Canis lupus familiaris: one gene and its partner. The protein of the gene in region 2 binds, or shares a complex with, the protein of the main gene of each other region. Links are inferred from orthologs where the notes say so. Each region holds a gene or a part of one and is shown on either strand. Other genes may lie near its edges. The genes, in order: ESPN and MYO3B.

Evidence for each region.
Region 1: the proteins of MYO3B (region 2) and ESPN are in contact, whole or in part, in a crystal structure (PDB 5ET1), measured with the Mus musculus proteins. The link is inferred for Canis lupus familiaris from reciprocal best matches to the Homo sapiens genes MYO3B and ESPN. Residues at the interface, in XP_017174528.1 of Mus musculus: Arg1223, Arg1224, Gln1226, Gln1227, Pro1228, Lys1229, Met1230, Leu1231, Ser1232, Ser1233, Asp1236, Thr1237, Met1238, Tyr1239, Tyr1240, Asn1241, Gln1242, Leu1243; in NP_997570.1 of Mus musculus: Leu35, Ala37, His41, Arg45, Ala67, Asn69, Ala71, His75, Asp76, Ala79, Thr80, Asp101, Ser103, Leu110, Arg113, Phe114, Thr135, Thr137, Ala139, His143, Tyr144, Ala147, Thr169, Asn171, Tyr177, Leu178, Gln181, Ala203, Asp205, Met207.

What each region holds. Positions count from the first base shown.
Region 1 is NC_049226.1:60,781,977-60,797,951, reverse strand, and holds part of ESPN (espin), read right to left. Parts: intron 15,869-15,975; coding exon 15,686-15,868; intron 15,517-15,685; coding exon 15,385-15,516; intron 12,668-15,384; coding exon 12,466-12,667; intron 11,457-12,465; coding exon 11,185-11,456; intron 8,479-11,184; coding exon 8,028-8,478; intron 6,707-8,027; coding exon of another isoform or gene 6,680-6,706; intron 5,580-6,679; coding exon 5,434-5,579; intron 5,351-5,433; coding exon 5,087-5,350; intron 594-5,086; coding exon 514-593; intron 416-513; coding exon 404-415; intron 1-403. UniProt on the Homo sapiens protein: Multifunctional actin-bundling protein. Plays a major role in regulating the organization, dimension, dynamics and signaling capacities of the actin filament-rich microvilli in the mechanosensory and chemosensory cells.
Region 2 is NC_049257.1:15,294,087-15,310,061, reverse strand, and holds part of MYO3B (myosin-IIIb), read right to left. Parts: intron 10,046-15,975; coding exon 9,919-10,045; intron 9,148-9,918; coding exon 8,937-9,147; intron 8,118-8,936; coding exon 7,970-8,117; intron 6,727-7,969; coding exon 6,573-6,726; intron 5,471-6,572; coding exon 5,382-5,470; intron 3,666-5,381; coding exon 3,536-3,665; intron 1-3,535.

The DNA of each region.
Region 1 (15,975 bases), on a different chromosome or scaffold from region 2:
AAGTGATACTTCGATATATTGAGTTAAATAAGATACACATGTTCACCTATATCTTTTTACTTTTTCAAAGTGGCTACAAGAGAATTTAAAATTACATAGTGGCTCGCATTATATTTCTGTCTGCACTGGGCTAGATTCCTGGGGGCAGGAACTATGTTTTGAGGGACAGCGCAAGGTTATTGACACTGAGGTTGGGTTAACCAAAGGTTGTTAGGGCATAAGATATAGACTTTGGGACAGGGGCTTATTGGGGGAGAGAGGTCTGGTGGCATCATTGGAAGCAGAGAGGTTGTGTTACAGACTAGAGTGACAAGGAGATGTGCTCAAGATGGGGCTGGATGAAGAGGCAAAAGACTAAGGAGGTTTGGGGAGGGGTGACAGGTCTGGCCCAGTCCCAACTCACCGCCTCTGCTCCCTAGAAGGAAAAAGAGACAGCATTATTTGGTGCCACCACAGCAGACACAAGATCAAGACATCCTACCAGGCCCTGAAGCTTCTGATTACCCAACTCACCTCTCCTCTTCTAGCTTCTTCCGCAGGAGGTCTCGCCTCCATGCAGGCATGCTGGCCAGCCGGGCTTCCTCCTCTTCCTCCTGAAACACAATTGTTGAGCTTTAGGACCAGCATGGGCTAGGAGGTAGGGGGCCAGAAGGGGCACCCCCAACCCCGGGAGACCTGCAAGAGTCAGGGACAATGGGATACAGATGTTCTTTCACAGGGCAAATCGATAAAGTTGCCTGGCCATGGTCTCCTTAAAGGGCTCTGCCCCCTTGTAACTCCAGCCTCCTGTGTCCTAGAGGGGGCGCCAGAGAGGTCAGACCTAAGGTGTAGGAAAGGACCAGAGAATGAGCTTCTCCACTGGGGCAGGATGACAGATGGCCCCAGGCCCCCAACCCAGACTCTGGGCAGAAACATCCTTGGGCCCCCACAGGCTCAAAGTGGCCTCCACTGGGAAGAATCTTCTGGGCCATGTGTGTCCTGTTCCCAAGTGGAGTAGACACTACCTCTACCACTGTGTGGCTGCATTGACTTGGCAGGAGCAGGGGAGCGGGCATCCAACACAGGCGGCTTACAGCAAAGAGTTTTATTACTTGGATGTTTACAGAGGAGAACACGTCACACAGAACACTACACACGTGGCTCCCTTGACCTCAAAGAAGTAGCTGTGAATTCCAGTGAAAAACCAAGAGAGGAGAGCCACACTGCCCCAAGGGGGACCCATGGTCCCTCACTCAGGGGGCCTGCTTCTTCAACCTGGCTCCAACACAGAGCTAGGCAGGACTGTAGGACCGGGGGGGGGGGGGGGGGGGGGGGGGGGGGGGGGGGGGGGACAGCTGGCTTGCCCTGTGCCCTGCCCTGCCCATTCTGGCCACTGCCCCACATTTGGCCATGGTGGGGTTTCAAAGGCTGTGGCAGCCTGGTCCTCCTGGGCACTCTGGGTTTTCCAAGGCCACCCCGCCGGCTTCTGGGTTCTTCCTGCCGGCTTCTGGCCTCCGGAGGGCATCAGACAGGCATCTGGCCCGGGATTAAGATGCTTGAGTGGAAATTCCGAATTCTCAGATGTCAAAGAGCTCTGCCTCCTTCTCCTTCCAGAAGGAGAAGCTGCGGTCAATATAGCGGCAGATGTCCTCATTGCTGAACTCGCCCATCTCAGACACCAGCTCCAGGGGATCTTCGACAGGGGCTTCAGGACTAGGCGGGTCCCACGTGGGGGGAGGCGCGGCTGGCGGAGGTGGGGTCGGAGACTGCGGCGCAGGAGCTGGGGCCTCGGGCTGCCCCTCGGGCCAGTCCACCGTGTGGGCCGAAGCGACCTTTTCCGCGGGCTCCTTCTCCTCCTCCTCTTCGTTCTCCTCCCCCTTCTCCTCCCCCTTCTCTCGCTCCTCCTCGGCCTCTTCTTCCCGCGCCGGCTCAGCCTCCGGGCTGTCTCCAAAGAACTGGCGCCTGAGGTCCTCAAAGCCGTCGCTCCAGCTGCGCCGGCCAGCCTCCACCTCCTCGAGCACGACGCGGTGGAAGCGGCGGATGAGCTCCCACGGGTGGCTGCCCAGCCGGTCGAACATCTCGTAGCACAGCAGGTGGCGGAACTTGCGCTCCTCTCGGCTCAGGCCCATCTCGAGCAGCTGGAAGTAGCCAAGCATGAAGAGGTCGAGCGTGAGGCTGTCGTAGCGTGGGGGCGCGCCGCCGTCGAGGGGCGGCAGGAAGTGCTCAGGCCAGTACAGGCCGTGCGCCAGACCCGAGCCGCACGGGGGGCGCGCGGGCACCTGCCGCAGCAGGCTCCGCCAGTGGCCCAGCAGCTTGCCCACCACCTGCCGCTGCTTCAGCAGGCGCAGCAGCCGCCCGTCGGCGCCGTCGCCTGCCGGCGGCCCGGGTGCCTCAGCGGCCTCGGGGACGGAGCCCGCGCCGGCGGCCACCACGCGGGGCAGCAGTCTGCGTAGGCGCGCCTGGGCATGGCGCCCGGGGCCGCGGAAGGTCCACTTGCGCCAGTGCTCCAGGAAGAGGTAGACGATGCGCTCCTTGCGCATATCTATGTAGTCCTGGACGCCGCGCAGCTCGGTGGAGAGCGGCGGCCGGCGCGCCAGCTGCTCCGGCTCAGGCGGCGCCGCCTGGTGGCCGGGCGCGTCGGGCGGGCCCGGGGCGCTAAGGGAGTCCCCCGCGGCCGGCAAGCCGTTGGCGGCGGGGGCGCTCGCTTCCCCCGCGCCGGCCGCCACGTAGTCCTCCTCTAGGATGGGTTCTCGGCCGGAGGCGCCGGCAGGAAGCGAGAGCTTGTGGCGCGAGCCGCGCGCGGGCGCGGAGCCCTGGGCGCGCAGCTCGTAGACGGCGCGGAGGTGCTGCACCGAGACGCCGCACTCGAGGATCTCGCGCGCCACGGCCTCGCGGCACCAGCTGAGCGAGTGCGAGCGGCCCAGGCAGAGCGGGCCCGGCCGCCAGGGCGCGTCGGGCAGCGGTGCCAGCGGCTGGCCCGTGTCGGCGGCCAGCAGCTCGGCCAGGTGCGCGGGCCGGCCGCCCAGTGCGGCCAGCAGCGTGGCCATGCTCTTGAGCAGCGTGGAGATCTTGCTGCACCAGGCAGGCAGGCTGACGGCGCGGCCGTGCATGCGGCGCGGATCGACGGTGAAGCGCGGCGCCGAAAGGGCGGCCGAGATCGGCAGCAGCTGCTCCAACTCCAGCTCCAGCTGCTCCAGGCGCGCCTCCAGCTTCTGCGCCTTGTGCAACACCTGCAGGTTCTCGATTTGCTGCTCGATGCGGAGGATGTCGGCTTCGGTCATGAGCTCGCCGAAGGGCCCGAGGATGGCGTTGTGCGCGCTGGAGTACCTCCAGCCCTCGCGGGGGTAGCAGCACGAGCTGGCGGCCGTCAGCTAAGGCGGGGAAGACAAGAGAGGGGAGGGAGGCGCGTCTCCCTCTGGCCCGGTTCCCGCAGCGGCCGCCGGGGGCGCCATTTGCATGTCCCGGGTGGTGTAATGGCTCCGCGGGACTGTGTTGGCGGGGATGGGCCGAGCTTGGCCGGCAGGTGGTTACACTGGGGCGAGGCTTCAGCCCAGGCCGCTACTCCGGGCGCTGGCCAGTGTCCTCTGGTTGCTGGCGGGGTCGTTGGGCGCCGTTGCAGAGACAGGGCGGGCAGACGGAGTCTCCACACCTGGCCAGGTTGCTCATTACACCACCGAAGGAACATGCAAAAGGCGTTGAGGCTGCGATGCAAGGCTGCCCCTTCCCCACCCTATCTCAGGTCCGCATCACCTGCAAGCCACCACCGCCCCCCCCCCCGCCGCCCCCGCCATGGATGACCCCTTCTCAAGCGCCGCCTGCAGCCCCAACTCCCCCTGCGCACGCTAGCAGTGCTCTAACGCCAAAAGAGCTGTCAGGCAGTCCCGTACCAGGAATAATAATCAATTTATGGAGCTAGCTGTGCCAGGAATTTCCGAGTTTCATTCATTCCTCACTTGAGTGTGGGGCTTCTCCAGCTGGGAGTTGGGGGGCTGTCCTCATCCTCACCGGCCTGTCAGTGCATCTACAATGCTTTCTCATAGGCAAATAGGATAAGGCCACTTCCTCCACTTACACCCTCTCCCAGGCTCCCAACTGCTGCAGGAGAAATTTGTTTTCTTCAAAGCCAGACCTTATGATCTGATGCCACTGACCTCTCTCCAGTTCCACCCCTCTCCTACGGTCAAGGAGCCTCCTTGCTCTTTGCCCTACTCGGTTCCCAGGCCACCTCTTGCTCATCTCCCAAGTCTACCTTGGACATCACTTCCTCCTTCCCTAACACTGCCCTCAGCCCAAAGAGGATGGTGGGTTTAAGGCTGCCCCAGACCTCTGCATGCCCTATCACAGTGCCACCTGTCCTGTGACAGCCCAGGTACTGGCCTCCAAAACTCAGGCTCTCACATTATCTTGTTCTGTATCTTTGGGGGCAGTTATCACCCTACTGAGGTGCTGTGTTTGCTTGTTGGCGGACCCCAAGCCGCCCCCTCCCCACGCGGCCACCTTGAAAAGGCCCTGACACATTCATTATGAATCCCCAGAGGCTACAACAGTGTATGTCACATACATAGCACCCAAGAAACATGTGTTGAGTGGATCAATGGCAAACGCCCTGCCAGCCAGTAATGAGCAATCATCTGACAGATAAGAAAACTGAGGCTGGCTGAGTCTCGGTATCAGTGGCTGGAAAGTGGCCATGCAGGGGCAGGGCCCAGGCTAGTCTGTTCGCAACCAAAAGCCTGTCACCTACTGCGTGTGGTCCCTGGACCAGCACAGTCAGGAGCTTCCTAGAAGCATGGGATCTCGGTCCCACCCAGGGCTCCTGAATCAGAATAGGCATTTTTACAAGATCTCAAGCAACCTGAGCTGCCTTAGAGTTGGATGAACTTTGCCATCTTACTAAAGGACATGCTACTGGAGGTGGGGGTTGGGGTGGAGACTGGGAACATTCCCAGTGGACAGGCAGATCGTCCAGTCCTGCTATCTGCCCCCACCCCAAGGTTACGGGAGCTGGCTGCAGTGGAAGGGACCAGCAGGCTGGGGTAAGGTGGGGGATGGGCCAAGGGCCCCACCGCAGACCTGTGGGCCGTCTGGGAAGCCCCACCCCACCCACCTTCCGCCTCTGTTCTTCCTCCTCCTGCATCTTCAGCTGCAGTTTCCGCACCATCACCTGGCGCTTCCACTCAGGGATGGGCCGGCCCTGCTCGTCGTGTGTGGGGATGAGCGCCTCCACATCCAGCTGAACACCAGGCGCCGGGGTGGCAGGCGGTGCCGGCGCCACGCTGCCATTGAGCAGTGGCTGGGGCCCTGCAGCCGGTGGGGTGGGGCTGCGGGCCCGTGAAGGCGCAGGCGATGCCTGGGGCAGCGGCAAGTCTGGCTGCAGGGAGAAGTGGTGACACTGAGTGCCTGGTGAGCAGGGGTGAGAGGAGCTGGGGCAGGAGTGCCCGGCCCACTGCCTACCTGGGAGATGGGCTGCCCGCTGCCCGAGAACACTGTCGTCAGCCCTTTGCTCTGCGGTGTCGGCTTCAGACTCTTGCCAGCCTTGATCTCAGCCAGTAGCTCGGAGTTGTCACCCGTCGGGGACATCATGTTGAAAGACTTGGTGCCTGCACAGAGGCAGGAGAGGAGGTGCTGGCCGCTGGTGGCCCGCCGACCCGCACCTGCCCCTCTGCTGTCCCCTCCCCAAGTCAGGAGGTGCCCAGGCCCTAGATGGCAGCTCTCCAGATCCCAGGCTCCCTGGGCGGCTCTCAGGGGCGCCAAGGGGGCATCCCCGCTCACGGGGCCCCACCATCTTCCCAGCCCTACTCACGGGACATGGGGGCCCCTCCTGGAGGCCTCTGGGAGTACATGCTGGCTCCTGGCCCTGCGCTGGGTACTCCAGAGAATGTCTCCACCCAGTACACTGACTGACCAGCTCTAAGACACTACCTGGGGGCCAGCCACCTGACCTTTGTCCTGGGTTCCCTGGCTCGGCCCTGCCGGGGTGGAGTCTCCCTCCAGCCCTCTCTGCATCAGCAAAGCTCAGTGACCCTTGGACTGAGTCACCTGGGGCCTCCATGGCTATATGGACTCAGAACCCTGGATGCCAGAGCCCAGCCGGTCTCCTCCCCGCCCCCCATACACACAGACAGACACACGCGCAGACACACTGGTTGCAAGCCCGTAGCACACTTATGGCAAAGCGCTGCTCAGCTCTGGGGGACCTAGAAAAGCGGAGCCCTTACTAAGGATATGGGGTGAAGGCACCCAGGAAGAAGGGCCAGGTGAAAAACATGCAAATATCCAGTGCTTGGAGTTTGCATTTTCTGACAAGGCTGGCAGAGGTGACTGGGGTCTGGGAAGGGCTGTCTTTAGAGACTGAGGAGGGGGTGAGGGCTGGGTGAGGGCAACAAAACAGGCCGATGGCTTTTAGGTTCCCCGGCACTGGGGATCCTAGAGCAATAAGCAGGAAGGGTAAAAAGAAAAGGTGCCAGGCAGGCACTGGCAACAGGTCCATTTTTTTAGGCAAAACCGACAGCCATGGGCAGAATTTGTGGGTGTGCATGCGGGTGTGGTGGAGGGAGGCAGGTAGCTGTAGTGTGGAGGACCCTGGCCTTCTGGCCCTTGGCCCTGCCCTTTATAAAGGGTCTTTGGGCTTTGACTTCCCCGAGCGTGCCTTGGTCCCCGCCCCGCACCTCAGCCAGGAGCCACGCACGCAGCTACTCACTCTTCCTGTGCCTCAGGACTCTCACTTCTAGGGACCGAGAGGAGAGAAGTGACAGCGAAGTTAGGAGAGGTAGGGGGCTTGGGTGAGGCTAGGACAGCGGGGGACAGCAAGAAGAGGGCGGGCAAGAGGAGGGGGAGATGCGCAGAGGAGGGGAGAGAGGAGAGGACAAATTTTCCAGCTCATGTGACCCTGGCTCAGGCTGCTCTGGGGCTCTGCAAGGGTGGTCCGCCCAGTTCCAGCGCTTACTGGTCCCTGAGGATTGGGTAGGGCTGCCACTGGCCCTGGCCCCCCTAGCAAGGGCCTCAGTCTTGGCATTGGGCTGGGAGAGGGCACCCAGCCCAGGCTCTGCTGAGAAGGGGTGTCTGGAGAAGCCCAGTCTATTTTTTTCTGTTCCTAACTTCAGTCTTGCACCAGATGGACAAAGCTAGCCCCAGAGGTGGGGGCCGTTCTGGAAGCTCAATTGGTGATGAGTGTGCTACCATGGGCTCTGGTATGCAGAGGCTGAGGCTCCTTAGGTAACTGAAGGAGCCCAGGCTGGTCCTACCCCGGACTATTATAGCCTTGCACTCCTAGTTAGGGAGATGAAGCTTAGGGAGATGTAGCACTGAGTATCAGCCCCCCTCTCCCAGGCTTGGGTGGGAGCATCAGCACCTAGGCACCACCTCCTGGGCCTTGCAGGAGCCCTGGCATACTACATACTGACCCATGTTACAGAAGAGAAGCTCAGGAATCCTGCTCACCACTTTAGACCTTACAAAGGATGTGGGGCAGGGCAGGGACGGGGAAGGGGTCATCAGGAGGGAAAGGGCAGGGCATGGTGGGTCACTGGCCTAGTCCCCATAGCCAGGTTCTAGCTGGCCTGGCCTGGGACCCCCCCGGGGGGGGGCACGGGGATCTGGCTGGGAAGAGTCCCTCAGGCATCTAAGAGCTCGGGCTGTAGCTAGCTTGAAAGAACAAGAGAAAGAGGTGAGGAGCAGAAGAGAGACTTAGGACAGATATGGGGCAGGAAGAAGGTTGGCCAGCAGCTGCCTCCTTGAAACTAGTTCTCCCTCTGAGAGCTCCCCATTAGCACCAGCTCATTAGAAACACCAGCCAGCAGAGCTGGGAGGCCTTCTCTGCTGGATGGGACATGGGCCTAGGGACGGAAGGGGACCGGACTGAGAGGTCACACTCAAGCGACTCAGAACCTTCCCTTCGGGTCGAGCCCTCACTGGGCTGGGGGCTGCAGCAGGAAGAGCAAGTAGGAAAAGAGAAGGCACTAGGGCAGTCGCAGCTGGGAGGGGAGCGATGGCGAGGTTTCCCACCCCTCCAGGGCTAGCGCCGCCCCCCACCCTCCGCCCCTACTCACTGCCAGTGGACGAGGAGGAGCGACGCTGCCCGCAGCCAGGGCCGGCGCCCTCGAAGGGCAGGGGCGGAGCAGGCGGTGGCGAGCAGAGGGCCTCCGGCAGGGGCGGCGGGGGCGGCGGGGGCGGCGGGGGCAGCTCCCTGGACGCCTTGGGGTCCGCGGCGCAGCCGTTATGCACGGGGTTCCCGGGGAGCAGCGCCGCCTGCGGGGGAGCGGAGGAGCTGGCGAGTGAGAAGCCGGAGGCCGGGCTGGGTCCCCGGCGGCCGGCGGGCGCGGGCGGGCAGGCACGCACCTCCTCGCTGTGCGCCATGCCGGGGCCCGCGGGCAGCGGCTCCCCGGGACAGCGGCCCAGCTGCCGGTAGTAGTCCCCCGTGCTGGGCTGCTTGCTGAAGGCGCGGGGCTTGCGGCCCGAGTCCTGCCTCCTCAGCCCGTTGTGGCCGTCGCGGGAGCTCAGCTGCGGGAAGACAGCGGTGCGGGGGCTTCAGCCACTGGTTACCGATGCCTCCCACGCCCCGCCCCCCCGGCTCGCAATTCCTGGGGCTCGCGGCCAGCGGCCGTCGAAGGGCGCAGCCAACCGGGCTCCCGGACCCTCTTGTTCTCAGAGCGGGGATGGGGCGAGGGTCCCGGGGAAGGGCGGGCTCGGTCGGCCTTTCAGGGAGGGGTTCTGGGCGCGGGCCAAGAGCCACAGGGGCCCCCACTGAGGCTAGAAGGGGCGGGACCAGGGGCGGGTTGGTCCAGCCCAGTCGCCAGGGGGAGCTGGTGAAGGGGCAGCTCGCAGTTTGGGCAGCGCTAAGGCCTCAGCCTCACCCAGCTCCCGGCCACCGGACTGTCCCGCTCCTCCCGCAGGCTCTGCCGAACCCTCTCCTTCGGGGACCCCGGCTCCCAGGCGGCCCCACGCAGAGCCCTCGTCCCGTTAGGCTTCCGCTGGCCCAGGGCTCTCGCCACCCGTCCCCGGGGCTGCTCCTACCTGCGCCAGTGCCGGTGGCCCCCGCTGTGCACCTGGTGGCGGGGGCGGCCTGGACCCAACACCTGCGCTACTCGATCCTTCCTCTCAGGTTACAGCCCAGCCCTTGCCCGCCCGCGCCTAAGAGCGCCTATGAGCTCTGCCGGCCTGACATCACCCGAGGCCCGCCAATCCCGGGTTGACCCACTCGCACCCATAGGGGACGCCACGGGGGCTCCAAGTGCATCATGCCACAGCCTGCCGCTGCGCCTTACCTGTCCAGCGAACCAGATGTGGATACGCCCCCAGTGCCCCTCTCCCTCCGCTAGGCGCTGGGCATCCTGGCCTTCAGCCCCCTCTGCCTCCCTCAAACTGGCCCCTCCACACCGGGTGGACAGAAAGCGGGCCCGACCACAAGCAGTGGAGCCCCCCGTATTTGGTACCCCCGGGTTCCGGGTCATGCCCCCGCCCTTCCCCTCCCTTCCCCTCCCGCATCTGGAAACCATCGACATCCGCGTAAGTGACACCGACACCCGCGCCTAAGCCTCAGGTTTCAGGGGCGGCCAGGCGGGCTCGGATGACAGCGCGGTGGCCCGCCCCGTCGCAGCTGCCCCCCCCCCCCGCCCCCGCTAAGCCCAGCCCAGGGAACAGGACATGGGGCTTGCAGGGCCAAAGGCCGAGCCACCGTGCGGGGGGCTGCCCCCTGTTCCACCCCCCGCCCCTGCGTCCCTGCAGTGGCCCCGAACCTCCAGGCCCCACCCGAATGGGCTCTCGTTGCAGGAAACCCGACACCACAGGATTTGTTTTCTGGGACAGTCCGCCCCCTCGGCGCCCCCTGCAGCCCCGAGGCGCGGATGCCACGACCCTGCTCCCGAGGCGGTCAGGCAACTGCGGGGGGGGGGGGGGGGGGGGGGGGACGAGGAGGGGGGCAGAGGCAGGGGCCGCGGGCACAGTGGGCACACACAAAGGGCCCTTTGTGAAGCTGCCCAATGCCTGCGGCCCTGCACGCACGCACGGGGTAGGGGCACGGGACCTCGACATCCTGGTGCTCAGGGGAGTGGAGGCAACTGTCTGGGCCACCTGTCCTGTGGCTTTGGGCAGGGCTCACACAGCCGCCCTGAGGGAAAGTTGGTGACCTGTGGCCCCCTCTGGTCCTCTCCACCTCAGAGAGATGAAAGGGGAACCCGACTGACAGCTTGCTCCAAGATGGCACAAGGACAAGGTGGAGCCCCTGTGGTGGTTGTCATTCCCCTCCCCAACCTGGTGACCTGGAGACCTGGGTCACCTGTGGGCAAACTGGTTACTCAGCTCCACTCTGGAGTGGCTTGCTTTGGGCTGGAGAGATAACCAAAGGTTAGGGCTCCCACAGGACCCTCGGTGGCCTCTACCCCATACTCAGCCACCTGTGGTCTCGGGTTGTCCCTCCCAGCCCAGCCCAGCCTTATTCTGCCCTGCTGGCCAAGACCTAGGCTCCCTGCCTAGGACTCTCGGCTACTCAGAACAGCTCTCTGGCTCCAGAGCTTCAGCCAGGAGCCCAGAGGCCCTGACATCCTGGCATTGCATCCTCTGTGCCCACACTGGACACAGACACCTTCCCATAAGCTGGCTTCTCCCCCATGGCTCCTATCTCAGGACCACCCCTTCCACCAACCTGGCCACTCAAAGCCCCAAATTCGGGAGCCAGCTTCAGCCTCACCCCTCCCTCAGCCCCGCCCTGAGTGCTGAGTCCTGTTAGTGCTCTCTCTCCCTGCCTCTACCCTCCTCCTGGCCCTTCACAGCTGTGCCACCTGCATCTCCTACCTGGAAGACACCCCCTTGGGAGCCATTCTCCACCTGAGCCTGGGGCTATGGGCATGTGCAGGTCTGTGGAAAGGCAGTTTGCACATATGCTTTGCCAATTCCAAGACCACCCTGCCACTCTGTGCAAGAGGTGAGGGAGGACTCAGCTCCCTGAGAGGCAAAACTGCCTGGTAATATGTTCCTTCACTCACCCTAGCTCCCGAGAGGGTAGTGGCTTTGTCTTCCTCATCTCCCTGTCCCCCGTGTCGAGCCCTGGGTCCCCATGGGGCTGGCCAGGAGCTTTGACTCTTGAATAAGCCACACTGGCCCAGAGACCCCCACCCTGTGCCCATGAACCAGGCAGATTCTTGGCCTCAAGGGCTGCCTATCAACCCAGTCTTGGTGCTGGGAGGCGGGCAGGGGGTTAATGTTCGCTACCTCCTTCTTGAGGGCCTCCGTCTCCACGTGGCGGAGTTTGTTCTTGGTCTGTATGTAGATATCAGCTGCATGTGGCCCCATGGGGGGCTGGGGAGCTGGGTAGCCTGGTGGGGGAGGGGGCAGTTGGGTGCTCAGGGGTGGGGGCGGTGGAGGGAAACTGGGTGGTGGTGGCAGTGGTGTGGTTCTCTCCGTCTTGCCCCGGGGACGGCCCAGTTCCGGGCTCAGCATGTCCATGTAGCTTTGTATATCTGCAGCTCTTGAGCTGGAAAGCCCTGGGGAGGGAGGGATTTGGGAGTTTGCAGAGAGGCTGTCCCCCGGGACTGAGACCCCTTTCTACCCGGAAGCAACCAGCCAAAGGGTAAGGTGGGTTTGGGATGCGGCCAGGTATGGCTCCACTGTGGGCTTCAGCAGTGCAGGGCCCACCTCACCCCACTTCACCCCACCCTCCCCTGCCCTGCCCTCCCCTAGCTCTGGGTGCATTGGGGAAAGGACATGCACTCAAGTTTGGAGGGGGACCCCCCCAGGGGGCTTTCCACTCCAGGGTATGGAGAGAGCTCCTCTGGTCACACCTAGCAGGGTGGCGTGGCAGGAGCATGGACGGCCACCCCCCAAAACCGCAGGGCACCCCACCATCTCTGCAGGCCCCTGCCTGGCGGCTTGAAGCAGGTATCACAGGTAGATGGACACTCAAGCTCAGGGTGTGGTCAGCGTGTGTATACACACATGCCTGGCTTCTGCCAAGTGTTTGTACATTCACATGTTTGTGAGCACATGCATGGGTTCTTTGTATTTACAAATGTGTTTGCATTGGTCTGTGGACACGGGGTGCATTTCTGCGTGTGTTTACATGTGCACAAACATCTGGAGTATGAAAATGGAAGGCTTTGCTGTAGTGCATGTGTGTGCGTGCATCTGCAACCATGCTGTATGTGTGGTTGTGAATTCCTATCTGTACACTGTGCCTACACATGTACAAGTGTGCACTTTTGAGTGTGAATAGGTGTGTGTAAAAGTCTGGGTTACACTGTGTGTGTGAGGATGATTACTCATTTTCAGGGTGCATGTGGATTTTGTCTCTATATGCACATAGGCTTGTGTTGTGATGAGCACACACAGCACAAGTGTCATCTGCCTCTCACCAGAACCAGCAGCCCCTCCTGGTGACCTGGGCAGCCTCCAGCGCCAGCCGTGGGAAGAGTGTGCCTGATGCTGGCCCTCAGGGACCCATGGCCAGTCCCAGTCTATGCTCCCCCTTCCCTCTTCCCAACCTGGCCCACTCACCGCGTGGGGGGCGCTGACCCTTGATGCTGGAGTGGCTGGAGGAGCAGGAGTCATAGTTGGAGAGGGTGCTGGTGGGTGAGCTGAGGTCAAAGTTCAGTGGCTGGACCGACATGGTGGTATTGGGTGAAGACATGCCAGAGTCAGGCTGCTTGGTCTCCAGCTCCGCAGATGGATCCCGGGACAGAACACGGTGCTCCACACTCTGAGCAGGAGGGGAGGCGACGAGGACAGCCTGACCTGAAGACCGGTGCTCTCCAGGCCAGGGTCCTGCTCAGGCATGTCTTTGCTGTGTGACCTAGGCTGAGCCGCTTCTTTTTCTGGGCTTTCTCCCCATTCTGAGAATGTCTCTCAGGTTCTTCCCAGGCCAAGATTCAAGCCCAGCCCCCTGGCAGCAGGACCACAGGTTCCTGGGAAACTCCTACCCTGGCCACACCTTGCTCAGGTGGGGTGGAGAGACTGTCAGAAGGGGGGGGCCATCTGGACCCCAAGGGGAAGACTGCCATGGCACCAGCCTTCTCCTTCCTCATCAGAGAGACTGAGCTCCACTGTATCTGTGGTGAGGGGCTCAGGTGCCACAGCCACTGGGGGTAGGGGAGGATGCAGGGACCCCATAGCTTACATGAAAGACTAATTCTCCACTACCTGGCCAGTAGCCCTTGTGCCTCCATGCCCTACTGGGGCAGATTCCAACCCCAGCCCAGCCCCACTCTCCTGATGGGGCCCTTGGAGAAAGGGAGGGGCTTAGGGTGGCCCAGCTGAGTCTGGTGGGCAGTCCTAGGTCAGGCCGTAAGCCTGCTGTCCCCCCACCACTGTCTGTGCCCCTGCCCACAGGCCTGACCCTCCTGGCATGGGGGTGGGCTGGGGTAGGGGTCCTGCTTACGTTGCCCATGCTGGCCTTGCTGCTGGCAAGCCTGCTCGCTGGCTCTGGTGGCTGCCTCCTGCCCAAGCCTGCTTCTCCCTGCCCGCGGCCCTCTCCTTGCCTGAGAAGTGTCACAGGCCCCTCGGGAGTGGGAGGCAAGCCTAGCACCAGGTAACAGCTCAGCAGTCATGCTCATTGGCCCTGTAATTAGGGGCTCTGTGGGAGTGTTTGCCTTTTCTGGGGCAGCAACCTGCATGGTTTAGGTCTGTCACTGCTGCAGCTGGGCCTGTCTGGGTGAGGGGACCAAGGCCCCCCCTACCCCACCTAGTTCAGGGGGGCCAGGGCCAGCTGACCATTCCGTGAGCCAAGGGAAAGCATAGGGGCTGGCCTGGGTGGAGGTGGGAAAATGCTCTTTTTGTGGCTGACAGCATGGGCACTGGGGGTGCCCAGCCCCAACCCCATGGATAACAGAGGTTAGGGGCACAGCCTCTCCAGCCTGGAATGCTGGCTTCAAATGTCACCTCTCCCACTTACTAGCTAAGCGACCTTGGGCAAATCACTTATCCTTTCTGTACTTAAAGAGAGAGAGCCTGCAGTGGGGAGTGGGGGGGGGGGGCAGGGTATAAAAGGCCAGAGGGAGAGGGAGAATCTTAAGCAGGCTCCATGCCCAGTGCAGAGTGGAGCTCCATCTCACGACCCGAAGATCATGACCTGAGCTGAAATCAAGAGTCAGATGCTTAACAGACTGAGCCACCCAGGTGCCCCTTAGTTTCTTTACCTGTAAATGAGGATAACAGTATTTCTTGCCTCATGAGGATATAAGAAAGATTTTAAAAGTTAGTGAAATCCCAGGGAGTAGGGTGGTCGGTAAACGCCATATATGTCAACTGTTAGTATTAATTTCTGATGGCGACTGAGGTTCTACTATAAAGCACCGGGCAGAGTACCTGCTGGAGTCAGAATTCACGGAGTGGTGTCTGTTGCAATTGTAGTTGCTGTTAAGAGGGGCTGGAGGGGCTGGGGCTTTGTGCCACCCCCACCCCATCCTTGAAACTCTCAGTGGGAAAGAACCACCTCTTGTGCAGAAATGCCTTCACAGCATCCACCCATTTGTACACCCTGCCAACAGGGTGCTCACTATCTGTTGGACCCTTGCTCTCTCTGGGTGGCCTCTCGGGGGTGGGGGGAATTCTTCCTCAGGTCCAGCTGCAGTTTCAGAACCCCTGGGCCTTGCTGTGCTCTGGAGCACCCAGAACCAGGGTGCCCCGCCCTGTGCTTGCAGACAGTGCAATGGCAGGATGAGGACATCCCACCTTCTCCCCTCCAGGTATCATTTCCTAGCCCCTCTTCTGGCCAGGCTGCCCCCTGGCACTGGTCCTCCTGAAGACACCTGGGAGACCCACCCTCCATCCTCCCCCGTGCCCCAAAGCAAGCATTATATCAGATGAGTCAGCGCCCTGGACTTGGAGCCAACCGCACCTGAGCTCAAGTCTCAGGAGGTGACTTCACAGCTGTGCAACCATAATAAAATCATTTAAAAAAGATGATACAAGTTTCCAGTTATGAAGTAACCATGAAGTGAGCAAACACACAGTGTAGTGATCAAGCAGTGGCTCTAGGCCATGCCACTCAGCTCCACCATTTAACAGCTGTGTGACCTTGGGTGAGTTAGGACACTAACACCACCTCCTCTGAGGCGGTGGAGAGTTAGTTACATGAGCTACTAGTGTGGGCTGTGGGCCGGCGAATGAACTTGACTATTCCCATCGGTATGTAAGTGTCCTGTGATTTCTCCAGGCCTTCTTCCTTACCAGGACGACGCTGGTCCTCTTGCCCTTGGCCCTTTCTCCTTCACCCTCTCACCCTCAGTGGTCAGTGGTTCTGGGCTGAGAGAGCGTGATGGTCTGCGGTATTTTCTCATTGTGTGACCTCGGACAAGGGGCTCCAGGTCTCGAAACTCAGCTTCTTCCGTGGTAAAGGGGTAAGAACACCTACCGCTGGGGAGAGGTGGGAATGGGGTGGGGGACGACATAACCGGGGAGCAGCGCCGGGGGTCGTACCAGGTTCTCCACGGTGCGCAGGTAGCGGGTGCAGTGGCTGTGGCCGTTGTAGTCCGAGAGGTCGGCGGCAGTGTATCCGTCGCGGTCGCGGACGTCCAGCTCCGCGCCGTTCACTACCAGGATCTGGCAGCACTGCGGGGGGCCACGTACTGAGGACCCCGCCGCTCGCCCGGACCCCCGCCCCGCCGCAGGGCTGTGCCGACAGTTCGGCGCCAGCAGAGGGCGCCCGGCCCCGCCCGGCCCGCCCGCTCCAGCCCCGCCCCTCCCCCAGCCGCGCCCCTCCCCCCAGCCCCGCCCCTACCTCCAGCTCCCCGTTTTCAGCGGCGTCATGCAGCGGGGTCCCGCCCCACAGGTCGGCCGAGATCTCGCCGCCGTGCAGCAGGAGCCAGCTGAGCACTTTGGCGTGGCCGCGGCTCGCCGCGAAGTGCATGGCGGTGGCGCCATCCTTGTCCTGCTCCGACAGGCTCACGTCGGTGCAGCTCACCTGGGCGGGAGGGGGTGCGGGAAAGGGGGGGGCTGGGCGCCAGGCTCCTCCAGGCCCCGCCCCGTCCAGCCGGCCGCTTCGCGAGCACGCCCCGCCCCTCCCCGGGC
Region 2 (15,975 bases):
AAATAACAGTGCTATCGGTGAAACAGAATGCATGTACAGAAAAGTGTGGGAAACAAATGTTCAACATAACAGATATAAACCAACATACATGTAACTACCATGGGGACCAGAAGTCAGAGCACTGCCAACATCCTAGAGAGTTATGTTATCTCAAAACTGAGGAGTCCAACAATGGACCTCTTTTTATTTTATTTTATTTTTTTTAAATTTTTTAAATTTATTTATGATAGTCACACACGGGGAGAGAGAGAGAGAGAGAGAGAGAGAGAGGCAGAGACATAGGCAGAGGGAGAAGCAGGCCCCATGCACCAGGAGCCCGATGTGGGATTCGATCCCGGGTCTCCAGGATCATGCCCTGGGCCAAAGGCAGGCGCCAAACTGCTGCGCCACCCAGGGATCCCTGGACCTCTTTTTAAAGTCTGGGGCTATCAGCCTCCAAAGTTTCCAAACTTTGATTTTTTTCCCCTCCTCTTTGTAATTCATCTCCTGAAGAAGTTTGTAAAATACCTATATCTATGTTCATTGAACTCGTGATCCATTTAATTTTAATAAGACAAGTGTTTAAGGGTCTGAAGCAGGATAAAAAATTTAAAAAACACAAGAAAATGGTTTCTCATGCATTGAAAATATTGGCACATTTGTTTTCAAAATGCCAGGATGTGTGGGACCTCACTTCCAGTCAGAATGCTGAGATATACACATGTCTGCTTTCATTTTTTTTAAAGATTTTATTTATTTAAGAGACATACAGAGAGAAGCAGACACAGGCAGAGAGAGAAGCATGCTCCCCATGGGGAGCCTGATGCGGAACTCGATCCCAGGACCTTGATCCCAGGACCCGGGGATCACGACCTGAGCCGAAAGCAGACTCTCAACCACTGAGCCACCCAGGTGCCACCCCACATGTCTGCTTTCATAAGGGACACGTGCTGAAACATGTATTTGCAATTTCAGTAAAAACAGCATCAACTATTTCTGTCCAGTAAGGTTCTCCCAACTTCGAAGGCTGTAATATACCAAAACCAAAAAATACAGAATATAGATGCTTTAAAATTTAGCATCTTAATTAATATTCTGACCTTTAACATTGGATGCACAATCTCTTTAGAACTGATGTTTTGAGGGCAAGTATCAACATAAGGACATAGATTCTAGTAAAGCTAAAGGCAAGTTCCAGGTGCTTTAGGGCAAAGCCATTTTATCTTTATCTCCTCCTTGTTGTCTTGGTGTCTTATTATTAGAAGCTGTTCTATACATGTTGATTGAAGGCATTTTTATATGAACACTTTCAGAAAAAGAAAACAGAATCATGCTTATTAGTTTTGATGTGTTTCTTTGGCTTCTTAGCTATACTCAAAATGTGCAGAAAATAAAGCTTAGGATTTCAAAATAAATTATTTCAAATGAATTTCAAAAAAAATTATTATACACAAAATGTGACTCAGGAATACAAGGAAGGAAAACATGTTTGTTTCCAATCTTCTTTGTCACTTTGTTTCCGCCAGGAGGTGTGGAATTCCGTTTGAAGACAAGATTCAGAAAAGGTTACACGATTCAGAAAGCAGGAACACTCCTTCAGGGAAAAGCGAAAAGTAAAAAGCAAAGCAAAAAAAAAAAAAAAAAAAAAAGGCAGAGGTTAGCTCTTTGTTTCTGTTCCTTCCCCTTTTAGGCGGGCAAGGGCAAACACAAGGCTTGCTGCAGAGCTTGATTTCTTGCCTCGCGCCACCTAGTGGCCCAAGCTGAGAAATTGTTTTTATTTTGCCAACAGCTGAAAAACTGGAGATTCCAAGGTTTTGAACATTTTTGACAAATTGTTACTCATATTTATGAGACAGTTTAAGTGCCAGCTGACAGGTCATCTGGATATATTCTACTTCAAAGAGTACATTTTAGGGGTATTAATAATGGCTGTATCTTTGCCCTGTACATAAGATGCCTGATAAGACCTGTGTCTGGTGAGGAACTCCTCACATCTGGCCACTCTGAAACAAATATTTGTAATTTCTGCAAAAACAAAACAAACTACTTCTGTCCAATAAAATTCTCCTACATTAAAACCAAAAAATATAGAATACAGATATTTTTAAATTTAGAAGCTTAATATTCTGACCTTCATCGTAAGATGCACAATCTCATTAGAACCAGTTTGAGGGTAAATATCTTCATAAGGAGATAATGAATCAAATCCTGGCTCTGCCCAAGGGAGGTCTGGAAAGAAAGGTAGAGGAAGCTTTCTCATGGGCACCCTACTATTTTTGTTTAAAGGAGCATGTTTGAAGAAAGTTAAGAACTGGTTTCATCTTTCTTTCCAAATTAAGATGAAGCAAAGGTTGCAGACTGTGGCTTCTTTCTTAGCCAACCTTTTCATTCCTTTGCATGTTGCTAAAAATCAGACCTGGCAGCCACTCCCTTTTAGGATACAAAGGCCCCAAACTGGACATGGTTTCCAATGATTTCAAGAGGGATATGGGACGAAAGAAAAGGAAATTATGAACAATAATAAAGAGACTTCTCCTCCTTCTTTCACAAAAGTGTACCCGCAGCTGTTTCCAGACAAACCCTCAAAACAGAATGCCCTTGAGAGGAAAGCTCTGAGAAGACCTAGTGAGCTGCCCAACCAAAGGCAGCAGATCTCAGGTAAATCAAAGGAACTTGACAGAATGGGAATCTAGGGGATCCCTGGGTGGCGTAGCAGTTTGGTGCCTGCCTTTGGCCTAGGGCGCGATCCTGGAGACCCGGGATCAAATCCCACATCGGGCTCCTGGTGCATGGAGCCTGCTTCTCCCTCTGCCTGTGTCTCTGCCTCTCTCTCTCTCTGTGTGACTATCATAAATAAATTTTTTAAAAAATTAAAAAAAAAAAAGAATGGGAATCTATTTGGCAAAACAGCAAAGACAGGGAAGTTCGGTTCTTTGGCCCTGATTTCCTGCTTCTAATCCTGAGAACTGACTGAGCAGCTTAACAAAAGCCATTAAGCAGAAGATGACTGTGAGTGGGCAAAGGCCAAGCAGGTAGGCCAGTGATGATGGACCTATTCTAAGTTGGTCAAGAGAGTGGGGGGTGGGGTGGGGTCACTGACTGGGTAGTGAATTGGACCAGGTGATTTCTGAGGACCCCATGACTGGACGACCATTGGATTTACCACATTCCTTTCACTTAGAATCGAATGTGAACAGAAATAATCTTCCCAAAAATTCTAGGTAAACTGAGACCACTGTAGAGGGCTTAGCATGAATTAATGATAATATACGGTTTTATAACTGGAAGAATGAAAAGAGGCAAGCAGAGAAAATGAGAAGTCTGAGTTAATGCTATAAAAGTATCTCTGTGTTATATATACACTAATGTTGTACAATTAAATTGCAAAAGAAAATATCACTTTCCTTTTCTTGAATTTAGTTGAATAGACCTTCACCCCTGCTTAAAGTTAAAAATGGTAGTAGTGTAGCCCTGAAAGTACTCAGATACTAACAAGAAAACTCCAGCAGTGCTTGTAGAAGCATCAGATCCAGGGAGGTCAGGGGGTTCCAAGTACCTGTTTTGGTCAAGGGAATTGAGAAGAGTTGCTGCAGAAGCTTGTTTTCTGACGTTCTCAGGACTACAACCACATCAGCAGGGAGAGTGTCTTTGTTTTTCTCAAGAACCCCAGAAGCATCGTATAATACCTGCAACATGAATAGCAAATAGCAAACTAGCCAGTATCATCCATTGCTGGTGACACTGGAAAAGCTGTCTGAGGTTAGTCATTAATCGACCAATGTAGAGAAATTATCTTGACACAGCCACGCTTTTAAATCCAGACCATGAGATAAGGAGGAAAAAACTGTAATTTTTGACAGGCCAATTTATCTTAACTTCTTGGTCAGGTGCTTTTTGAGGAATAGAGGCATATCAAAGATACATCACGTGAGAATAACTATGAAAATAGACTGAGCACTATATATTGGCCACTATGCGGAAAGCACCCACCTTATGAGGTAAATACTATTACTATCTCCATTTTACTGGTGGGCAAACAGAGGCTTAACAAGAAGCTGAAATGATATGCTCATGGTCACATATTTCACAAGTAGCAGGCAGGTTTCCAAACCCAGGCAGTCTGGGCTCCGTGCTCATCATCAACTGTACTCTTGCTGCTCCCGAAGGCATTCACAACATGTGAGTGATCACTTAGGGATGCAGAGTCATTTTCAGTTCTCACAACAGAAGGGATCCAGGTCAGAGGAATTTTAAGGAACATTCCAGAGAAATAATGAATTCAGGAAAGGGCACTGAGCCCACAAAGAAAACGATCTTGTTTTTCCCCTTAAAATCAAGGAAGGAGAAAAGGGAGAAAGGGAATATGGGTGAACAGGAAATCGGTATAAAAAGACAGAGAGACAGGGAGGTGCAAGGAAGAGGACAGGAATGGGAGGTGGAGATCAGGATAGATGCGGGTATCCCAGACATGGGGGACATTAACATATGGTCAGACATCAGTGCTGAGGTGGTCTGAAATAGTTAAAAATTGAGTTGCAATTTCAACAAAGATTCAAAACAGATACTATACGCTATGTGGGGAGAAACACAATCTTCTTTGCTTATATTAGAACTGCCTTTCAACCAACCTCCAGTCAGGTAAAATTAATTTCAACACCATGATATGAATATAAAAAAACAACTTCAACAAATCTTAAATGAACAAAATCCCAAATGCCTTTTGTTGGACTCCTACCCTGTTTGTGGGACCCAGGTCCTCAGCAGACCCCACCAGAACCAATGAGCTATGATTCCAACGACTCCTTTGAGAGTAACTCTGAGCAAAGAGCTATTGGCTGCAGAACCAGAGAATTTCCTAAATTAGTCACTCCTCTGCTTCAGGAACTTGAAATGAAACTGAGGCATAAATTAAGAAAGATGGAAATTTCAGTTAGTGTTATACAAGTTTAACATCAAAGAGAATTTTTTCCCTTTTTATCTAGACAGTTTTGGTGCCCTGTAGCCACATATAGTTAAAGTGCTAAAAACTGAGCCCCACTATGATATTAACCCTCCTCTGTTAACCTGCACATTTCCAAGGGACTTCAGAATATACACATTGTCCACTAACCACTGCAAACGCTACACTGTATCTTCTCTCTGGAGAGCTGTCACTTCTAGGACAAACCTCAGGTGAGAAGCAGATGGAAGCTCCATAGCCACCCCAGCAAGAAACTGCTTTTTTACCAGGGGCGACTTTCTGTGAGCAGAACCACTGAGAAAGTTTGGGAATTATGATTAGGTGTTCAGAAGAATTAAAAAGAGAAAGAAATCTTCAAGCAATTTTGTGAGCAGCACAGACAGGGTAGTATGAACACTTACCCCTTGTCAAATTCAGGCCTAGTAAATCACACTTGCCTTACCTTTCCAGCATAGTGCAGAATGCCAAAGCATAGCTCCACCCCTTTGGGCCTCCAGAAGTATTTGCATCGTAGATTATCTTCAAATTTATCTGCGTGGATTTTCATGTGTAAAAGTTACAATGAGAACTGTTTGCTTCTTCAAACAAAGAGGTGCTCCTTGAGCCAGGAGTAACCCAGAGTAAGGGTTTTCAGGGCAGCCTGATACTATCATCATACGTACAACAGAGGAGAAAAATGCTCCATTGAAATGGGCTTACAATCAAGTCTTCATTTACTTGTTTTGTGTTGTCTTTAGTATCAGGCTATACCCTAAGATCTCTTGTTCTGTTCTAAGAACTCCCAGCATGGACACTGATGACACCAGAACTCTAGCCAATTAGCTTAAGAACCATGAAGATCCCATGGAAGGCAAACAACCCTGGTATAAACCTATCACGGCAACTTCTGATTACTTTGTAGGTAAAAGGAAACCACTGAGGGTGACAATTTTAACTCCTAGAAGTGAATCTTTCCCACCAATCAAGTTCCTATCAGGGGAAAAGGCTTGAAACTTTCTGTTCCACCCTGTGCTAAGCACTAAAGGGATACAAAGATTATTGGGGTTTTGTTGCCCTAAATATCTCACAATCTAAGTAAGGGATGGGATTGTATGCAACACTGAAGATTAGAGAAGAAGGTCAAGAGGAACAAGGATAGAGGATTGGGGGGCCATTAGTGTCAGGAGGAAGTGTCTTATCGGCATCTTATAGACAATAGTAACCTAATGAAAAGGTGGCTTTAGAAAGACTAAATTAGCTGGGACGTCTAGGGTAGAGGGGATAAGCAAGAAGCTAGAAGCCAGGAAACCAGAAGGGTCTTCTATACAAATTTAGACTAGAAATGGATGGGATCCAAGCAGAGATATGAGAGAAGGGTATGAAAAAGGAGGGGAAGCAAGCATTGGTTATAGGAAATAAGGGAGCTGAAGGTATAAAAATGATAGGAAATAGGCAGCAATAGGAAAGTGAGGAGGGTTTGGTGATGAGTTTTCTTTAAGACAAAGATCTATCAGGACATTTGCTGACAATTTCAATTCATTAAAAACAGGGTCTACACTTGCATAAACTACCAAGTGGCCAAAATACCGATTTACAATACCAACGAACCAAGTTCTCTCCTGAGTGTACTATGCCTTTCCCAAGAGACACTTACCAACCAGGGTCTGATCAGTTGCTTGGGGAAATCGACTTTCCTCATCCAAAAGCGCAAGCAGTCCCAGAGGTTTCTGGAGGAACATGTCCAAGAGTGGGCGATTGTCCTCATACATCACAAGTGTAGCATCAATGCCCTCATTCTGATATTCCATCTGGAGGAAAATGGATTGTGAATCTCTTTAAGCCCAAAACTGGTCTACATAGCACCAGGCTGCTTTGGCACGTGCCTTCTATAGCCTTACAACACTGACTGTGGAATACAGGCAGTTTTATGTGTGTAGTCAAAGATTCTCCTGATACAACACTGCTAAAACTTTGGGTTTAAGTCTGACCCATAGGCAACCTGCGGCAGGCAGCTGAAGCCAGCAAAAGAAGGGCCAGTGCTGTCTTCCAAAAACCAACTTGGGAAGTCATAATTTAGAAACTGACATCGAATAGAAAGGAAGCTGAAAAAGTTATTTTAGTGATAAATAAAACATGGCTTAAACCAGGAAAAAAAAGCAGACTTCTACATTCTAGGATTCTGCAAGGGAATCAGACTGCAAAACTAGAAAACTCCAGACTTCCCAGGGAAATAAATGCAAGGAGCCCTGAGTGAAAGGAGGTCAAATTTTGTGCAGAGTGGGAGGGGAGAGGAGGGTGATACAGATTTATCCAATTCCACTGAAAAAAAACAATACAGATTTTCTTCCTGTTTTTGTGTTTATGTAATCACAGTACAGCGTGTGTGTCTTCACTAAAGCAAAGGCTCAGTCAGAATGTTTTATTGCTGCACTACTTCATACAGGATAGTCTTGGGTTTGGGACAGAAATTGGGGTGGAAGGGGAAGGTCCCCTAGCCTTTGGGCCCATCAGCTTCACATCTTGTTTTACTTACCATTAAACTCATTGCAGAATGACTTCCATTTGGAGAAAACCAAGAACATAGTTTACTCCTGCCCTGGAGACATACCCCCTTCCAAGTTACTGTGGGAACTGGTGTGCAGGAGATGAGGGTGGGGGGGGGGGGGTGGAGATGCCCTATTTGGGAGTTAAGAACGAGAACCTGTGCCCTGATTAAAGATCATCCTGTGTCATTTTGGACACAATCATGGATGTTTTTTGTTAAATAAAGTAGAAGAGAATGTAATAATTTGGACAGTGTGCGTGAAATAGTTTGGAAGCAATATTTAAATAACTAGCTTGTCATCAGCTCCACTCAAGTGAGGAAATGTAACTTTCCACAGAAATCAGGACTTTTTTCAGGCTAACTTTAGGCTATTTATTTTGACAGGACTGCTTCTTTGGTGGATTTTCCTTAGAATCTGTTAGCCTAAGAGGGTTTCTGCTTCAAATTGTGAGCAGCTTGCAGACACCTTCCCCATCAGATTTAATCACTTCAGAGTTCACTATTACCTGCTCAAGAGCGAAAACATGCTGGTTGAAATAGTACTGGATTTGCTCATTGGCGATGTTTATGCAGAGCTGTTCAAATGAATTTCTCCCAAAGTTCTCAAATCCAAAAATATCCAAAATCCCCACATTCATACCATCATCTGCACTACTGCATGGGAGTAAAGAAAAAAATCTTTTAGTGGAAGAAACATTTATCTCAGGATGATGAAAATATGTGTGTCCACATGTTTACCAATATATGTACCCACTTATGGAAAGCAGCATTCAGCTGCCTCTAAGAGAAGAAATAGTTTGTGTTTTAAGTCATTCATTCCTTCAATCTTTCAACAGTAGTTCCAACTTTTTTTTTTTGTTTTTAAGCAGTAGAACCCTTTAAAATCTCCCTCAGAAGTTCCATAGAGAGAGATATTAGAGAGGAGGTACTCTGTTCGAAAAGACTAGAACTGCTGCCCATTCATTCTTCTACCTTCCCACCCATTAGGCTTAATTGGAAGAATACGATTTAGAATTTGTTGTTGTTCATTTTCCCACAATATAGAGACCACTAATGCTTAGGAAAGAAAAGTCAGTAGCAGCAGCAGCAATAATACTATAAGATATGGTGCTTTAAAACTTTTCATGAGATGTCTCATTCTAAAAACACTATGAGGAGGAATATTAATTACTCTCATTTTACAGATGAGAAAACTATGACTTGGAATATGGGTCTGGTCAAACTGTAGAGCTTAAATGCAAACCCAGTATGCCCAGCTCCTGGACAAGCCTGTTCTCTTAAACACTACATATTATGGCTCAGTCATGTGATTCTTCCATTCTCCTAGATCCCATTCTCCTTTTAAAGGAAAAGACCTCAGAGCTTCACCAAAGGAAACTCAGGAGAGGACCAAACACTTCCTCTTGCAAACTCTAAGAGACACCATGATCGCTGACAGCTCTCCCAAGGCCTCTGCTTCCCAAGGGAACTTGCCATATGTTTTTGTCTGGCTGCAGGAGTGTATTGATGCGATTTACAATCCAACTGAAGAGCCTCCCATACAGGGCTTTGGACATGGCATCTCGGACATCCGCAGCCCTGTCGACAGTATTGGCACGGATGATGGTTTCACCGCGGGTGACCACACAGTGTGAGATAAGGGCCTCTTGGAGTTCTTCGGGGCTGATGCAGAGAACAGAGGCAGCTGCAATAAAGAGTAAGGATGATACAGAGAATACAGTCACCCATTCATCCTTTCATTCATTCAGCCAGCATTGACTCAACATCTACGATGTGCCAAGTTCTATTCAGGCACTTCAGATGCAAAGGTAAACAAGCCAGGTCCCTAACCCCAAGAAGTATCCAGACAGACACAGTATCCCCCAAACACTCTGAAAGCTCTTCACAGGCATTTGATGAGAAAAAGTGAGAGAAGATAGTCTTTGGTCAAATAGCTGGGGATTATATTCAAGAGCCAGGAAGCACACGAGTTTATTAAAAACAGTAAAAGATGCTGCATTTTAACACAACGGGTGTTTATTTAAATCACTTTTTTTTTTTGAACTCAGGATTCTCATTCCTGTGTCACCATTATTAGCTATAAAACTTTAGAAATAAACAGGTGCCTGACTATCCCTTGCAGATGCTGATTTAGTGGATTCAGACAGGGATCCACCTCTTGTATTTTTTTTTTTTCGAAAAATTATAGATGATTTTCAAAAGTAGCCAGTGTTGACACCATGGCCCAAAGCTATCTGTCATGGAATTCTTTTCTGCAGAGCACTTATTTGCAGTTCATGAAAAGAACACTGATGTTCTACAAGACATCCTTTGGGAAATCATAGTTAGTAAAAACACCCAGAGCCGGCAGAGGGACCAGCCACAGCTGCACTATATTTTACAGCATCTTTAGAAACTACCAAAGTCAAAGACACATGCATTTTGATTACACAATGCACAGACATCAAACAATTACCATTTTCCAAAGCTTCAGCATTGGGGACCTCACTTTTGTCAGTTTGATGCTGAGAGGAAATAGCTGCAAACTCAATGTTTCCAATATTCAAAATTCCAGCCAAAATTCTATACACTGAGTGCACCTCCTGAAAAGGACAGCAAGAACCATTTTGGTCATTGCCAATCAAACCAACAAACCAATAGCACTGGTAGTTATCCACCAAAATCCAACATCCTCCTATCCTGGGCACACAAACAAATTTCCAAACCTCCCCTGCAGTTAGGCACTGGAACTAAATTCTCAACAAAGAAGCAAGTAGAATGATATGAGTGACTTCGGAGTCCAGCCTTATAGAAGCAAGCATGCCTCCTCCATGCTTTTTCCCCCATTATTGCCAGCTGAACCTCCCAACAACCCAGTCTCAGCTATGCAGGACTAGGATTCCTAAGACCAATGCTACATGGAACAAAGTTGTACTGCAACATGAACCTCTTACTCTGAAATGCTTCCATAAGAACAATTGATCTTTGTTCTTTAAGCCACTTATCCATTTATTCTAACTAAAACCAGCTTCTAAATTCAGGTATGTTCTTTTTTTCAAAATAAGAAAGCAGAGGTTTCCTTAACCACTTTTGAATATAGCTTTTATGAAATAGTTATCAAGGCATTCACTGATGGTTCACTGAACATTTTGAAGTTCAATAAAGGAATATGTAATTATGAATGAGGTCAGGAAATATTCAGACTCACTAGAAATTATCTGTGATATTGTGATATAATAACACATATTTGGTCTTCATACCAATTTCCAGCACAAGAGCTAAACAACCCCTGGAATTATAAGTGACAGGTGTTAAAGGAGTATCCTCTGTTATTCTTAATACCTTCAACCATAACTGAGTCTGTGCCACTGAGGTAACTCTTAAAGAATATGGCCGGGGGATGCCTGGGTGGCTCAGCGGTTGAGCGTCTGCCTTTGGCCCAGGGAGTGGTCCCGGGATCTGGGATCGAGTCCCACATTGGGTTTCTTGTAGGGAGCCTGCTTCTCCCTCTGCCTCTCTCTCTCTTTCTCTCTCTCTCATGAATAAATAAATAAAATCTTTAAAAAAAAAAAAAAAAAAGAATATGGCCGGTTGCTAGAGAGACCACACATGTGATTAAAGGGTTGGAATTTTTAGCTGAATCCTTCCAGGGAGGGGAGCCTTCTGGAAATTGAGTTAATCACCAACTGACAATAATTTAATCATTTATGCTTATGTAACAGAGCCTCCATTAATATCTCTAATTGGGATGCCTAGGTGGCACAGCGGCTGGGCGGTTGCCTTTGGCTCAGGTCATGATCCTGGGATCTGGGATTGAGTTCTTCAATAGGCTTCCATGAAGAGCCTGCTTCTCCCTTTGCCTATTTCTCTGCCTCTCTGTCTCCCATGAATAAATAAATAAATATTTAAAAATAAATAAATAAAACCTCTAATTGATGAAGTTCAGAATACCTCTGGGTTGTGAGAGGTGGTACCCCCCCACCCTTCCCCATTACCTTGCCCTATGCATCTCTTCCATTTGGTTGTTCCTGGGTTGTATCCTTTATAATAAACCAGTAAGTAAACTGTTTTCCCAAGTTTTGAGTCTTTTTATCCAATGATCAAATTTGGGGTCTTGGGACCCAAGATCTCCCACTTTGTAACTGCTTGGTTAGTAGGTGAACCCTAGGATTTGCAATTTGTGTCTGAAGTGGGGGCAGTCTTGTGGAACTGAGCCCCTAACCTGTGTGATCTGATGTTAATTCTAGGTAAACAGTATCAGAAGTAAACTGAATTATAGGAGAATTGGTTGGTGTGAGGAGAAAAAAAACTCCATGCATTTGATGTCAGAAGTACTGTGAGTAAAAATAGATAACCTAAGTCCTTTTTTATATTGAAAGTTAAATAGATAAGTAGCATTAACACTAAAAAAAAAAAATAAAGTATATTTATTTAAACCTATGCATTTCCTATAGGTGAGACAAATACATAGCCAGGAAACTTCTGCATCTTATGCCTATAGATAGAGAAAGCTACTTCCACAAAAAAATACTCAGGTGAGAAACTTGATTTAGTACTATCCATAGCAGCAAACTAGTAGGAACTGTCATTAGACCATTGGTGAAGCATTGTTCCCAAAGTGAGCCTTCCTGTGAACATTATTCAGTAAAGCTGACAACTGAACAGACTGTAATAGTGACATCTGCTGGATACCTGATAATGCTACAAAGACAAATGAGGATTTTAAACCAGGCTTCTACTATAAATACTGTTCTTCAAACTTCTAAATCAAAGGCAAGAGGTCATGTTTTTGATGTCAAAAATTACTGTTTTAATCATACAACTTAAGACTGGCTAAGGAGAACATCTACCAAATGGGTTTTCTGGGGCTGGTGTGGATTTAACATGACAGCACTTCATTACCTTAATCAATAAAATGTGAGGCTCAAAAATGCAACAAACAAGCAACTTCCCAGAGGGTAAACAGAAACTACAGCAGTGAGCTCTGTATCTGTTCTTTCTATCCCCAGTTCTCTCAAAAAGTTACCTAAACTCTCAATATTCTTAGAAAAGAAATGTATTTCCTCTAATTAAAACACACATTTACACCCTATTATATCAGTATAAGCCATGAAACTTCCCAAAATAGAGCTTCCAGGCATTTCACCACTAGGGAGATTATCCCCAAAGGAAATGGCAGTTCTCCCCTGGTTGTTTCTCTGGCAATATTCTCTTCAGCACAATGCTCAGACATTTCCTCTTTTAAAAAAGAAAACTACCCATGACCTTCAGGGAAAACTTTGGGGTTCAAACACCATAAATGACTGAAGTTCATGATAGGCTGGGATACCCTTCCTTGGTTCAGAAAGGGAACTTGAGAAAGGTGTCCAATGTTGACCTCATTATGGAGGAATTAGACGTAGGGTACTCTTTATGTGACATTTCTAGGCCATTCCACCTCTTTTAGTCCTATCCTTGTATTAATTAGCTTTTCCTTTCTGGGCTAGGAACCTACATCTACCTTTTTTGTTCAAGTCAACACATCACCCATACAATCATGGTAGAGGACAATCAGTAGTGTGTTCACCTGTGGGGTTACACCTCCCTCCCCAGAACTTCTTGATCAAGTCTCTTCTTTTCTCCCTATAGCTAGTCTGAGGATTTTCACCTTCCTCATTTTGCTCATTTCCTCTTGCCTGATTTCCAGCTATGCAGTCTTTTCTGGCATCCCTGATTTTACTACCAAATCCTACTATGATGCTCTTTCTTTTTATTTATTATGTTTCCAACTTTCTCTATGAAAAAACAAAATAAGCTCATTCAGGACAGGAAATACTATCAAGAAAATTAACGACTCCTCCAGCTGGCTTCCCAATTCATTTTCACCATCAGCAGAAGTGGGGAAGAAAGAGGCTTTCTCCATCCCATACAGGATGTATATGGTCTTTGCTTCTTTTTTTTTCTCAGAAAACACTCCTTTCACTGATGCAGGTATTCTCTCAATAAAGTTGAGGATAAGCAGAAAATTGAAAAGGTCCTTGGTTTTCTGTTAGCCTGGAGCTAATTTAAGGAAGTTGCTCCTAGCCTGGTTCATAAGCATCTCATGGTAGTGGTTTTCCGGGCACCTTCCTAGGAATTGACTTGCCCTCTCAGTATATCTTTACCTTGTTTACTTTTTATAAGCCTCTAAGTTTTGGTTTTTGTTTTTAACCAGTTGTGCTCCAAGCACCACATAAGGCCCAATAACGAGCCTTCTCCCTTATGGGCTCTATTCCAACACCTTTCTTCAGTTCCTTTCCAGAGGCTCACAATATTTGTATCCTGAAAGCCAATGATTGGTTGAAAAATACCTGAGAGGGGAGGTATATCAATCATGCATCAATATAGTGTAAAAAGAAGTCAATGTAAGTCCTACTGTCATTAAGGTATTGGAAATCCCTAACTTACATTTTAACATATAACCCTTCAGTCTCTCTTCAGCAATATTCTCCCAAATTCATAATCTAACTTGAAGAAATGGAAAAAATTTTGCCCTAATCTCAAAGCCTTCTCCCTAACCTCTTCATCAAGGGATATGCAGTAAATATCCAATGTTGACCATCATGCAGATAATCTGCCAAAAATGTTTTCACATAGTATTAAATATAAATATGTTATGGTAATTCTTATCCCAGTAAGACAAGCATAATATTAAACAAAAATGGTATGGTTTGACTCAAAAAATAGGACTCCAAAGGCATGGATCTTCATAAAAGGGTTTTAGGTACAACATCACCCCACCCCCATCCCTGCCCAATCCTCTGCAAGGAATCATCATTGTTAGTGGAAGTCTCCTTCTACCAGGGAGGTTTCTTTAGAATAAAGTCAGGGTCAAGTGTTCTTTCAGATACTTTTGGCAGGTGTCCCAGAATTAAAATTCATGCTCCTGACTCCACACTAAGGTTCCCTACTCATAAAATTTTGCTATAAGAGTTTGGGTCAATCTAAAGATTACTATATGAAGGTTCCTGCAGGAAACTAATGACATTATAAGAAAGGAAGGTGACCATAATTTTCATTAAATTGACCAGTTCATTTATGCCCTGTCTAGAAATGTCCCTCAGATAAACTTAATAGTTCTGATACATCAGTTATTTGGCATCTGCCCCAACTACATTCAACTAAATCTTTCTGAATTTAGTCAAACTACCCTGAATTTATAAAATGAATTGAATGAATTCAGCAAAAATAGGCTATTGAGATACAAAGATATAACCAAAGAATTTAGGGTCAGAGGAATAAAAGCTAGTCTCTTCCTTCCATTTCCAAAGGTGCTGACATAAGTTGGTTTATTTCCAATTTGAACTGTTTACGGGACATGGTGAACATAGATGCATATACCATCTGGTTCATTTGGTTATTCATTTGACAGTCCAGATCAGGCACAAATTAATTATGTTTACTACCTATTACATTTCTTTCTGTTCATATTTATTCATGCAGTCATCCATTTCTACCCTACTTTTTTTCCACAAGGGTTAGAGATGGCATGGCTTATTTCAATGACACATACTTAGCATATTTAATTTGTTTTGTTTTTAATTTATTTTTAAAAAATATTTTATTTATTTTTTCATGAGAGACACACAGAGAGAGGCAGAGACATAGGCAGAGGGAGAAGCAGGCTCCTCACAGGAAGCCCTATGCAGGACTTGATCTCCAGACCGGGATTACACCCTGAGCTGAAGGCAGAAGCTCAACCACTGAGTCACGCAGGCATCCCCTGATTTTGTTATCTTAAAACAGCATCTGTTTATTACTTGCAGTACCTTTCTATTATAGAACAGGGCCATTATATACCTTCTTTTAGAACTAGGATCAATCTCTTTACGGTATTTTATAACCATCCTTATATTCATCAAAAGCAAAATATTATAGTTTTAAAGATTTTATTTGCTTTAGAGAAAGAGAATATGCATGTACACAAGTGAGAAGGGAAGGGAGAGGGAGAGAATCTCAAGCAGACTCCACAATGACCTTAGGGCCTGACATGGGGCTTGATCCCATGACCCTGAGATCATGACCTGAGCCAAAACAAAGAGTCAGATGCTTAACTGAGTCACCCAAGCGCCCCCAAAACAATATATTATTAACCTTATGGCTAATTCTTCTCTATTGTTCTTGTACCCTTTTAAGGTAGCATGCCCCTAAAACACTTTGGCATGACCCAGGTGACTTTAAATCACTCTACTGCCATCTCCACCACGCTTGGACTCTTCTGGTGATGCATCTTGATAATAACCAGCTCCATAAATTAATAACCATAAAGGACCTTTAATAAGGTTGGAACCTGTTTAATTGCTTTCCTCTAAGGAGCCAAGGGATATAGAGTTCTGTTTTTATCTGACCTTTGGGATTTTCCATTGTCTGTCAGTCTAAAGTCAGTGGGAGGCCAACTCCAACTGAGAAAATTAACAGCTGGCTAGAAAAAGAAAGGTATTATTATTATGACTAAAATCAGCCATGCTGGGGAGGGAAGGGCTGGACAAACTCATTAGATTACAGAAGCAATCCT